Oryzias latipes: one gene and its partner. The protein of the gene in region 1 purifies or fractionates together with the protein of each later gene. This does not show direct contact. Links are inferred from orthologs where the notes say so. Each region holds a gene or a part of one and is shown in the gene's direction. Other genes may lie near its edges.

Region 1 (6,415 bases):
CAAGACAATACCAAGACATTTTTGACAATTCTGTGATCCAAACTGTATGGGATCAGCTTTGAGGATGGCTCAGAGAAAGTCCATAAAGACATAGATGAGAGTGTATGGTGAGTCACTTCTGCATGGTCCACAACTCAACTGGATAGAAAAACTTTGGAATGAATTAGAGCGAAAAATGTTTGTTGGTTTTCAACCAACAAATCAAATGCACTTCTAGAATGGTCTAACATTTCTGTAAACATACCATTAAAGCTTGTAGAAAAAAATCCCAGGACAGTTGAAGCTTTTATAGATACAAAGGGTGGGCTGACATTAGAAAAATAAACTCTATGGGTTATAAATGAGATGGAACTTAAGTTCATAAAGGCTAACACACAAAAACAAACAAAAACAGTGGCTCTGACACAGCAGAAGGCTGCGTATTGATTTATGAAATCTTGACCACAGTCCAACAGTTGGAGCTGCTCTGCACAAATGCAGATCTGATGTAAGTGCAGAGTGCTGTGTAAATGTATGCTTTAACCCTTGTGGTATCCTAGGCACTTTGACATTGGGAGTGAGGTCATCTAATCTAGACCCCACTAGACAGCGCGCTGAACCTTTTTTCTTTAATGATTTGTGATCTTCACTGGTTTCCATGGATTACATGAAATCCTCTCCATCTTTATCCACGGTAGGGAGAACACGTCAATGGCCATCTTGACCCCATAGGATAGCACAAGGGTTAGACAGGGCTGTTCATTCCTGATCCTCGAGATCTACCACCCTGACGGTTTTCCAGATCTCCAAGTCCTGCTAGCGGATGATTAGCTCAATCAGATGTCTCCACATTCTGATTGAATGAACACACCTGCTCCAGGTAGTCAGCAGCAAGCAGTGCAGGGAGAGATGGAAAACAGGCAGGGCGATAAATCTCGAGTACCAGGAATGAGGAGCCCTGGTTTAGAAAATGCTTATGTCCAGAATATACTTATTCACAGACAGGATGGTGGGTGATAAATATCCCAGTGCTTTGCTGTGTGTGTGAGAAAAACCTACACACTCATTCCTGAAAGTAACAGAATCTGCCAAAGTCATCAGCATGGTGACTTAAAAATAGATCAGCTTTGCAGGAAGAGAGCCAAGACAATGGTGAGGACCACACAGTATCCCAACCTCACCCATGTGCAAATATTTGAAAGTCTGGTTTCTTGTGTCTGGCTTGTCACTGGGCCATCTGTTAATTTCGTTTTGCAGAAATTTGGTTTGAGAATGAGAAGGATTTTGAAACTCTAATACACTGAATGAAGTTTTTAAGTTGTAGGTTTGACCCCAGATTTAGCCCCCACTAGCACCAAGCACCACATGTGTGCTGACAGATGCCCTGCCTACCCTCTTGCAGTATGTGCGTGGGCTGAACAGCCTTGACTTTGTAGTTCCTTGCTCTCCACCCTGGACTGGGGCGCTCGGCTATCTCCCTGTCGCTCAACCAGGTGACCGTCTCGAAGTTGTCTCCGTTGGCCAGCGCATCGACCTCTGCGCTGTGGACGCCCACCTGTTGGAACTGATGCAGACCCCCCGAGTGGTCGAAGTGGGCGTGAGTGGCGATGGCCAGCAGCGGGTTCTTCCTCTGCGGGTCTTTTCCCAGCAGCCCCTTGGAGTCGATGTAGTCAGGTAAGCTCCTCAGCCCCAGGCCGGTGTCTATCACCACGTCCTGATGCGAACCGCGGAGCAACCAGATGTTGGCCCGGTTGTCCGATTGATAAAACCGCTCCTGGATCCAGAATAGTCCGTCTCCGAGCGACTTGTGGGCGTACCAGTCGGCTGCAGACATCCCAGGACATGCAAATGTCGAGGTAAGCTTCGGAAGGGAGACGCGCCGTCGGCTGAATTAGCACAACAGTGTTAGTAGCCTCGTAGCTAGGAGCAGTGTGGTTTCATTGAAGCTGTAATGATGGTGGCCGCACACACCCTTGTTTGAAAGCAGCCAGCCCATTGGTCGAAGTGAGAAATGACGGTAGATGTGAACGCGGCAGCGATTGGACGAAAATAAGAAACGCCCTATTGGGACGTAAGCAGGGGCGGAGAGGGGAAAGCATCTGCTCACGCTGACTAGTCTATTGGTTACACATGCGTTTCCCAGCCGGTTCCACAAAAAAACCATAGAAAGAAGCGATAGGTTTATTTACTTATCTTTTTCGCCTAAATGTAAGCTAAACCGCTAAGCCACAAACTCGGACCGTTTAGCTTTAACAAATAAATCAAATTCAATAAGATTTCATTGGGAAACACGTGTCATTTATAGTTATAAAACTTTATTTTTTTATCTCACGTCTCCATAAAAGGAGAGTTTTACCAGCAGGCCTCCTGTAAGTATTTATGAAAAAATATATATCAGGGAAAAATTGTCATTTCTCATAGCGGACTCAATGGTGCAATACCGGCAAGCACGTGCTTGTCAATGACGGTGCTTGCCTGAGGATGAACCGTGTGTTGCAGGTCGTGGTCAGGGGCGCAGCCATGGCAGGCAAAGGCCGCGGGGTGGCTGCGTTTACCTTCAACATTGATGCTCTGGGCATTGGCAGAGGCAACATGCCAGAAGCCAGGGTGGGGCCCAGTCCACTGTTTCCAGTAAGTAAATGCCACACAAACACGGAAAGATGGAAGGTTTAATTAGCAAAAATTCAAGTTTTATTTAAGTAAAATAAATTGGCATGTGTCATCAACGTAGGGCTTTTAGTGTACTCTCCCTGTGTAGTCTCAGTACTTTGTAAAATGTGCTCAGAAAGCAAACTATGATGTAATCTATTTTGTGTCAAACACTTGGTTTATGGACACTTTCTGAGAATGACTGCCTGCTTGGATTACACCAATTTTCAGATAAACAAGAAACGTGTCACTGTAATAAATATCTTGCATCATTTGCCCTTATTTAGACTACTGAATTTAAACCGGTTCCACTCAAAGGAGGTGAAGAGGAAGACTACATGCTGGCGTTAAAACAGGAATTAAGAGGAGCAATGCAGAGGCTACCACACAACATTAAAGCTTGCTCCAGCAAAACGGGTAGGGGGGAGAGTGCTGACATATGAGAGATTTCTACGTCAAGATAATTCTGGGCTGCTGGAAGTGGAGATAACTGCTGCTTTTGGGAAATCAGACATTTTATGAGTGTTATACATAAGAGAAATGAGATTCTATAGTTACTGCTTATGCCTCATTATGAAGTTTTCAATTGTTGTTGTTTTTTTAGGGGTCCATCATTACAGATATTTTAAACATCTTTAATTTTCTTTGGTCTATGACATAAACCCAAGAAAAAACTTAAAGGAGTACATTTAATTTAAGTCACCTGTTAAAAAAAAGACAATTTCTAATCCAGGTTCCAGACTTTTGATCATTAGAAAATACTTTTTAAGATTCATTTATGAACAAATAATTTGGTACAATGCATAAATGTCTAAACAATAAATTTATTTTTGCTGTAGCAATGAATTGATTCCAGAGATTAACTTTCATTTGTTTTTTATCTTTTATGTTTAGTAAAAAAATTCTCACTGATCTGATACTTTTTTCAAATGTACTCTGTTGTTCTGTTTACATGAAACAGAGGTGGAGAAATACACTGAAAGATACTTGAAACAAGCCCAGATTAACAGTGAGGAATGGACTCCAGGTAATTGCTTTAGATGGAAATTTTTTTTTCAAAAGGTGTCATGTAAAGTAATGCAAACATCGTGTCACACATTTCAGACTGGAACCTTTTTCCCAAAGAACTGATGCCCCAAAGTAAAAAACGTAGAATTAAGAAAGGTAAATTAAAGTCACATTGCATGCAGGAAATGTTGAATGCGTGTTTTTTATTTATTTAAAAAGTGTTTTTTGCTTCAGGCACCAAGACTAAAACTGTGAAGAAGTTGAAGGAAGATAAAGCCAATGTGCTCAGTAAACTGGATGTAAGCCTATCTTCCTTCTTTAGCTTTTTTAGACTATTTAAATGTTTTTTTTTCTTAATTGAACTTTGTACAAGGATGTCTTTAGGCGCTGTCATTCGGTGCTGAAGTTAGTAGGCACATGCCTTTAAAATAAAAAAATCTAGTTTGGAAACTGCCATAAGGACAGAATAGTTTAAAGCCATGTGAAAAAAGATTATGGTTGTACGAAGTTTTAGCAAGATTTTGCAGAAGTCTACATCTGTGTAAAATATAAGGCACAATTTTACCTGTTTTTTTAATACCAACATTAGACTGAAAAACGCTTATTGTACTGGTGCTTCTGATTTTGAATTGGTAAAAAAAGTAAAAATCGCATGTCCCTTTCTGAAACTGATCAAATTACATCAAGTTTAAAAACAGTTTGACTCTTGAATGATCTTGACAGACCCATCTTTAGTGTCTGATGGGCTTAAATCTATTTAAAAAGGAAACTGTTCAGACTTGAACATTTCTTCCTTAACTGATCGGCTTTAAACACATTGGCCCAAACCATACTGCCAAGCAGAACAAAGAGAACTGCTGTGAAAATGTAGACTTTTTTTTAAATGGGAAGAAAGCCTACCATTTAGTTTGAATCCCACCCCAAAAAATCTGCTCAGGAATTGGCCAAGAAAGATGAAAATCCTGAGAAGTCAGATGAGGAAACTGAGAAGAAAGCAGAGGACGATGAAGAAATCGAAGAGGAAGAACTCGAAGAAGACATAGAAGAGGTTTGGTCCCAGGAATAGTGGAAAATCTGCATTGGTCTTATTTGATGCAACTAATGTTTTATCTGCTTGTTGCTCCTCAGGAAAATGACTACATTGAAAGCTATTTTGACAACGGTGAAGATTTTGCTGCTGAAAGTGACGATAACATGGATGGGGAAGCAACCTACTGAAGCCCATTTTGCATGGCTTTGACAGTTGCATATGAAATGTCTGTTTAGCTAAAGCTCGTAAGCCAAGTAACTTCATGTTTACGCCATGTAATTATTTAATGGATATGTATATATAAGCATAAATATGCAGACTTCAAAAAATAAATTATTCAAAATAGATATTTATTAAGCCTGCAGTATATTTCCAACTTGAAAGGCACACAGTCAACAAAACTGTCACAGGATAGCAACTGTACAATACATAACATTTAGGTAATTTATCTGGGAACATTGCATATTAAGATATTGATGCACATATGCAGTTTTACCACAGTTTCATGTCCAGCCAGATTCAGGACACTTGGATAAAACAAGGTTTCATTGAAAATTCAATACTGGTAGTATCACTGAAGCTCAGTCTTGACAATAGTTTAAAACCCCGTCATAGTTTAACACAATAGTATTTCACGTGTGCACAAAGGAAAACATTAAGATTTCTTCCAGAAGAAATTTTGTAAAAAAAAAATTAGACCTGATTTTTACAAACAGATGGTTCACTGGGAAGAAAAAACCTCACAGCAACTAATTCTAAAAGCATTTGTAGCCATCTTTATTAGCAAAATCTTGTTATAGTTTCATGTATGACATCTTGCAGAACGAATGTGGCAAACTTTGTTTTTGTCTTTAAACTATCACATTCTTTTGGACATTTTACTGAAGCAACAAAACTGCTTTGCTGTTAGTCAAATTGATAAAGGCATTTTCCTGCTGAATCTTGAGTTCAAAAACAAAAAAAACCTCTCATCAGCTTGAGAGTTAATGTTTGACAGCAAGATGTCAACTTCCCACAAAACTGTCCAAACATCTCCTTTTGTCTCCACTGTCCAAAGCAGGATATTCAAGACTTTTGTGGGCTGTTAAGGTTTACAAATTAGCAACTAAAGAATTGAACTTGTTAGTTAAAAAAAAAAAAATTGTTAGCATAGACAAATCAAATGTCCCTTTCTGAAACTGATCAAAGAATATCAAGTTTAAAAACAGTTTGACTCTTGAATAATCTTGACAAACCCATATTTAGTGTCTGATGGGCTTAAAACCATTAAAAAAAAAGAGAAACTGTTCAGACTTTGTGAACATTTCTTCCTAAACTGATCACAATTCTTTAAAAAAAAAGAAAACGAATGTCTTTCACCCCTGGCATTGAGCTAGACACCTGAATATTCCAAACAAACCTCCAAAACCTACTGTTGTAGAGGTAGTCACAGTTGCTAAATACCAGTAATAAAGTGCATCATAAAGAGTGTGTGGCTGTTTGTTTCCCCATTTTCTATCTAAGCAAGCTTTAAGGTTTGTATTGTAGTTTCACCAACAGAATTTTAAGGCCAAGTAGGAGACAAGCATCTGTCCTAATATTCCAATGCGATCAAATACAAAATATTCTTCAGTCAACCACCTACTAATCCTGATACGGTGATTTCTAATTTTATCAATGAAAATCGACAGAAAAGGCATTACATTAAAAACGTATAGTCAACTTGAAATGTTCTAATCCTGATCCTGCAGAAGTAGTCTGAACCTCTTT
Region 2 (5,699 bases), on another chromosome or scaffold:
AATATTTTTCGCTGTTTAATGTACTGCCAAATTAAGTGGAGTCTGGGATTTAATGGTATTTTGTGTATTAGCAACATATAGCATCAAGGGTTTAAAATGTATAGCTGTCAACTGAGTTGTAAATATGAGGTGTAGAAAGTTGCAGGAAATGTTGAAATCTGTGCTCCAACACCACAGGAAACATCCTCGGCGTGATACGAAACCATCACAAACTGGTCAGCACTTTCAGACTCATGCGCCGGGCCGGTTTCATCAACGAGTTCGTGTCCATCTCTACCAACCTGACCGACCGCTGCGTGTACATCTCCTCTGACGGAGGACGACTCTGCAGGTAGGATGTCTGGGAAAGGATTCGCCACATCAAAACTGTTCAGTACAAATAGAAAACAGATCTTTTAGTTTAGGACAAAACTCTTAAGACTTTTCATTGAACTCTGCAGGCCGTACATCATCGTGAAGAAAGGACAGCCCATGGTGAAGAGCAAACATATTGAAGATCTTTCTCAGGGTTACAGGTGAGTTTTTGTCACAAAAGGCCCCCCCCCCCCCCCTTTTTTTTTTTTGAGGATCACAGCCAAACATGTTTTAGCAAAGTAGGTTTTAAAAATAAAATTGTTTAAATAATAAAGAATTGGTTTTGTATTATTGCTCAGTTGCACACTTTGTGTTTCTAATTTTCTAACTTTATTAGAAACTGAATTAGGCAGAAAATTCATAGAAAATAAAGTTTGTGCATTGCAAATATTATGAAATAAACGGAAATGGATTTTGTGCATAGAAACACGTTATATGAAGGCTTTAGTAGTTTTTTCTGATATAATATAATGAACTTTTGTGACTTGTGTACTTTAGTTTGAAATTGAAGCTAAATCATACTTCGTGTAGATAATTTGAAGTTTTTATTTCAAACACTGTTGATGTATTTGACCTTTAGCCTGTGTCCCAGTCTAATGTGTGACTAGTAAAAAAATACATCTTTGTCATGAATTAATGTAAAGCACCAGCATGTGATCTGTTGTAAAAAATCCTTGAAACAGCAGATTTGAATGTTTCCTCTTAGAAACTTTGAGGACTTCCTGCACGAAGGCCTGGTGGAGTATCTAGACGTCAACGAGGAGAACGACTGTCAGATCGCCCTCTATGAACACATGATCAACAAGTGAGTCACAGCGAGCTTTCAAGAAAGCGCCCTGGTGGTTTGAGTCAATCATTACACCTTTCCTTCGGCAGAGAAACGACACACTTGGAGATCGAGCCGTTCACGCTGCTTGGAGTGTGTGCAGGCCTCATTCCCTACCCCCACCACAACCAGTCGCCCAGGAACACGTACCAGTGTGCTATGGGCAAGCAGGCCATGGGTAAGGCTTAGCAAAGCCGTTTCTTTATTTTATTGTTACATCAGAAATGTTTTTAAGTTCAGATTTGAGTTTGAACAAGTGAAAAGTAATTAGAAATACAGCATGCTGGTTTGTCCCCCCCAAAGCTCTCCTCCTTCATGTCAGAATACATTTGTATGTGTGATTGAGTGTTTGTCTAATGTGTGTGTGTGTGTGTGTGTGTGTGGGTTGAGGTGTGTATGCGCACGGACATCAAACATGGGGCGTTTGCGTAGGTTCTCATTGTGCTGTGTGTGTGGAGGCCCTTTCCCTGCCAGTCACCCAGAGTGTCATTAGCAATTCATTGTGTCTGCTCTGGCAGTGCTCGGGGGGTCAGTGTGCTCAGCTGCAAAAGACCACAGAGTGTGCACCCGCGGCTCCTTGGTAACCAAAACTTCCCCAAACGGACCTGCTCGCATTCGTAGGAATCGAGCCCCCCCCCCGTGCTACACGTCCGTCCGACCCTTCCTCCCCTCCTCCCATCCTTACAAAAACACTGACTGGAACTATATTTGGCCCAATATCCTCTGTGTTGTCTGTTTTGTATAGACAGCTCCATACATGTGCAAATCTGGTTGTGTGGCCTGAGCCTATTATCACAGACTCTCTGCTTGTTGGCTGATTGTTAAGTAATAGCATCTGACAAATGTCAAAGCTGCCGGGGAGGCCGGGCTTTATGCCATAACTGGCTCCTCTGTGAGCTAAATGGGCCCAGTTCAGCACCTCTACAATTTACTTTAAAGATTGAATCAATCAAATATTATAGAAAATGTAATAAAAACAAAATGATACATTTTATCACAGAAGATTTTGGAAGGTCTTATATTTTGTGTTTCCAGGAACCATCGGCTACAACCAGAGGAACCGCATAGACACCCTGATGTACCTGTTGGCGTACCCTCAGAGGCCCATGGTCAAAACCAAAACCATCGAGTTGATTGACTTTGAAAAGCTGCCTGCGGGTCAGAATGCCACTGTGGCAGTGATGAGCTACAGCGGCTACGACATTGAAGACGCTCTAGTCCTCAACAAAGCCTCGCTTGACAGAGGTGGGAGCTTCATTTTTCTACCACTTTTTTTGTTTTGAAAACTCTTGACTTTAGTCAGAAAGGGCATGTTTAACGACGCCAGTCGATCTGAGGTCTAATCTTTGACTGTTTCCTGACAGGATTTGGTCGATGCCTTGTTTACAAAAATACCAAGTGCACACTGAGACGGTACACAAACCAGACTTTTGACAAAGTCATGGGGCCCATGCTGGATGCTGCTACACGCAAACCCCTTTGGAGACACAACATCCTGGATGCTGATGGCATTTGCTGTCCTGGTGAGTACCAGCTGAGCGGGAGGAGGCACAAGTTTTGCATCAAAATCTACGGCGGCAACTATTTTGATTGTTCATTTAAAGATTTCGCTTTGAGTGATTCCGTTTTTCCCAGCTTTTTTAAACCCAAGATCTATTGGAATCATGCCTTTCAAATCGATCAATTAATCAAGCTTTATTTATAAAGCATTTTACAACAATCACTGATTGAACCACAGTGAAATCAATTGAAAGAGAGACGAGCAATTGAATGTTAAAAACTGTTGGGACTGTGCACTCCGACTCTGCGGCTCCAGGTGGAAGAGAGACCTAATCATGACCTTTCCACCTTTATTTTTGATGATTTGTATGAAATGTTCTTCATCACCAGAAGTCTTCAGCTTTGTTCTACCAGCTTGAAGTTCTGATGCAGTTTTGTGACAGCTAGAGAGACTCAAGTTTCTTCTGGGAATTCTTCTGAGTAATATTTAGAGTTTGAGTCCTGCAGTTTTTGCATTCATTAGACATTAGACATCATGGATAGACAGATAATGGATGAACTTTTGGATGATCATCAGTGGTAAAGATGATCCCTTTTTTGGGCTTAAAGGGCCAATCTGATGAAAACTGTGTTCTTGGTGTTTTTTTGTTCTTGTGGCATTTATTTAAAGGAGATACATGAAGAAAATTAAGCTTAAAATTGCATTTCTGGGTATTTCTTCATTCAAATTGTTGTGGATCAGGAGAAAACGAAAAAATGTCGTCTGAACAAACAGCCACAAGCTCCCTGCTCCGCTCCATTCTAATGTGTCCACTATATCCATCTACCTCTTTGTTTTCCTCGTCTGAGCTGATATCTGACTGCATGGCTGGATAGCTCCATTCTCTCTCCTCATTTTTATTGCACCGCTAATCTTAGGTTGGGGTTGTGAGGGCCTGTAAGCTAGCGGGAGAGAGTGTAGACAAAGGGATACTGGGAAATAAAGAAAAGCTTACTTTAGTACCAAGAGACTTTCTCAGAGGTGAAGGTTCTCATTCTGGAAGCGATCACTTATTGACTCATTTCAAGTCATTTGTTTCTCAGTTGTTATAGTTTTTTGGAAATACGTATTTGTTTTTATGCGAAAGTGCCGGCCCGGACGTTTTGAATTGTATCTATAGATGAGGTACTCTTCTTTTTTATTTATTTTTGTGTGTGTGTGTCTTTGCAAAGCTTTTGCTAACTTGGTTTGGTGTGCTGGGATTGCTTCAGGTGAAAAAGTGGAGAACAAACAAATTTTGGTGAATAAATCAATGCCAACTGTCACTCAGACGCCACTGGAGGGCAGTGCCCAGCCAGGCCAGCCCCAGTACAAAGAAGTTCCCATCAGGTGAGTTTCTGCCCCCAACTCCCTCCCCACACCACCAATAATCCTTCTGTTCAGCTGTAAACATCTGAATCTTCAATGATGCTCTCTGTTTGCAGCTATAAAGGTTCCACAGACTCGTACATCGAGAAGGTCATGATCTCCTCCAATGCTGAAGATGCCTTCCTCATCAAGATCCTGCTGAGGCAGACCAGGAGGCCGGAGATTGGAGACAAGTTCAGCAGTCGACACGGGCAGAAAGGTGCAAACCTGACGGCGTTGACATGTCAGAACTGCCAGGAAAATACAAAAGCCTCGCGTTGATGTCACCAACTCTCAGGCCAGCTCCTGGAAGACAGGAATTGACTGTATCAGCAGAGGAAAACCATTTGTTCCATCTGTTCCTGTCACTGCCCCCCGTCCGCATCTCTCAAGAGCTCCTTTCAATTAATTGGCTCTTTGTCCCGTCCCAGACTATGCAAATTTATTACACCCCTGCAGTATTCTGCTGCTACTGGGGGAAAAAGTGTTTACAACCTCCATTGTTTTGCAGCACCTCCCCTAAAGAGGTCTTCTATGATGTTTTAATCAAAAAGCTAACTGGCGCCATGCATAAGTTACTCTCTTCATTAAGGCGGTGGGCGCTGGGCGGTCAACTCGGGGTGAGACAATGTCTTCCGTCTCAGATGATGACGAAGATGAGGGTCGCTGTGGGGTTAGCTGAAGGAGAACCCGACACACGCACCCAGATGTGCAACAGCTGGCCTTTACACCAAAATTTACTCTAAAAACAGGAAAAGAAGTTGGAAAATGTAAAGTTTTTTGTTATATCCTAACTTTATTTCCATTTTTATACTTCAAAGGGTTTTAATGAACCTGAACAATAATTTCATTACAAATAAATGTGGCTGTGGTGATGGATCTCCCAGCTTCACGTGACTTCTCTGAACCAGCGGAGCAGAATAAGTCAATTATTAACCAGTCACACACACACACACACTCAGCTGCGGAGGTGGTAATGGGGGGGTGTAAGGGTTGTCAGTATTTGGGTCTCATTGTGCAAAGCCGTCAGTATGGAGCTGTATGAGCTGTGATGGAGGGCTCTGGACCCTTGCTGTTGTCTTGCCTTTCTCTCCTGATTTCATGCCTCTTTTATCATTCACTTTTACACAAAACAAACAACGCCGAGCATGTCTGCTTTTGGAGCCAGCTCTTACTTTCTTCACCGCTTTCCTCTTCCTTTTTTCTCTCTCCTTTTTCCCTGATGTTGGGCCTTTTTTTTTTCTCTCTGCCCTTTCTTTCTCTGAGTTTCTCCTGGCGCTGCCTTACTCGCCTTTTTCTCTTTTCTTTTCACCTTCTTCCTGCTGTTGGATGACTTTCCACTAAATGGCCGCACTTGTTCCCACTCAGCATCCTGCTGCAGCATCCTGTAAGGCCTTAGCTGTAGCCGAGCGCTGGCCTAATGGCAAATTTTCCCCACGTGCACCAGTTCAATTTCTTCATCTCCGGTTGATCCCTCACTTCCACCCAATGAACTGCACGTCATGGGGGCATAATCCCGGTCTCCCTGTTAAGCTAAGCACCTTCCGCTACTTCCTGCTCGCCTCTCTTTGCTCCATATTCTTTTTTTTTTTTTCATTTGCAAATGAGTCTACAATCAGTTTACCCTGGCCG

The links.
Region 2: the proteins of polr3g (region 1) and polr3b fractionate together in Homo sapiens (co-fractionation; 4 studies listed by BioGRID and IntAct, with this or other methods). This does not show direct contact. The link is inferred for Oryzias latipes from reciprocal best matches to the Homo sapiens genes POLR3G and POLR3B.

What each region holds. Positions count from the first base shown.
Region 1 is NC_019867.2:16,254,269-16,260,683, reverse strand, and holds polr3g (DNA-directed RNA polymerase III subunit RPC7), read left to right. Parts: upstream 1-2,098; 5' UTR 2,099-2,348; intron 2,349-2,478; 5' UTR 2,479-2,499; coding exon 2,500-2,610; intron 2,611-2,915; coding exon 2,916-3,045; intron 3,046-3,589; coding exon 3,590-3,655; intron 3,656-3,732; coding exon 3,733-3,792; intron 3,793-3,870; coding exon 3,871-3,935; intron 3,936-4,573; coding exon 4,574-4,684; intron 4,685-4,764; coding exon 4,765-4,854; 3' UTR 4,855-5,013; downstream 5,014-6,415. Other genes in the region: mblac2 (metallo-beta-lactamase domain-containing protein 2), read right to left, coding at 1,372-1,813. UniProt on the Homo sapiens protein: DNA-dependent RNA polymerase catalyzes the transcription of DNA into RNA using the four ribonucleoside triphosphates as substrates.
Region 2 is NC_019864.2:21,486,401-21,492,099, forward strand, and holds part of polr3b (DNA-directed RNA polymerase III subunit RPC2), read left to right. Parts: intron 1-177; coding exon 178-331; intron 332-440; coding exon 441-515; intron 516-1,060; coding exon 1,061-1,159; intron 1,160-1,230; coding exon 1,231-1,358; intron 1,359-2,215; coding exon 2,216-2,425; intron 2,426-2,544; coding exon 2,545-2,703; intron 2,704-3,931; coding exon 3,932-4,049; intron 4,050-4,144; coding exon 4,145-4,287; intron 4,288-5,699. UniProt on the Homo sapiens protein: Catalytic core component of RNA polymerase III (Pol III), a DNA-dependent RNA polymerase which synthesizes small non-coding RNAs using the four ribonucleoside triphosphates as substrates.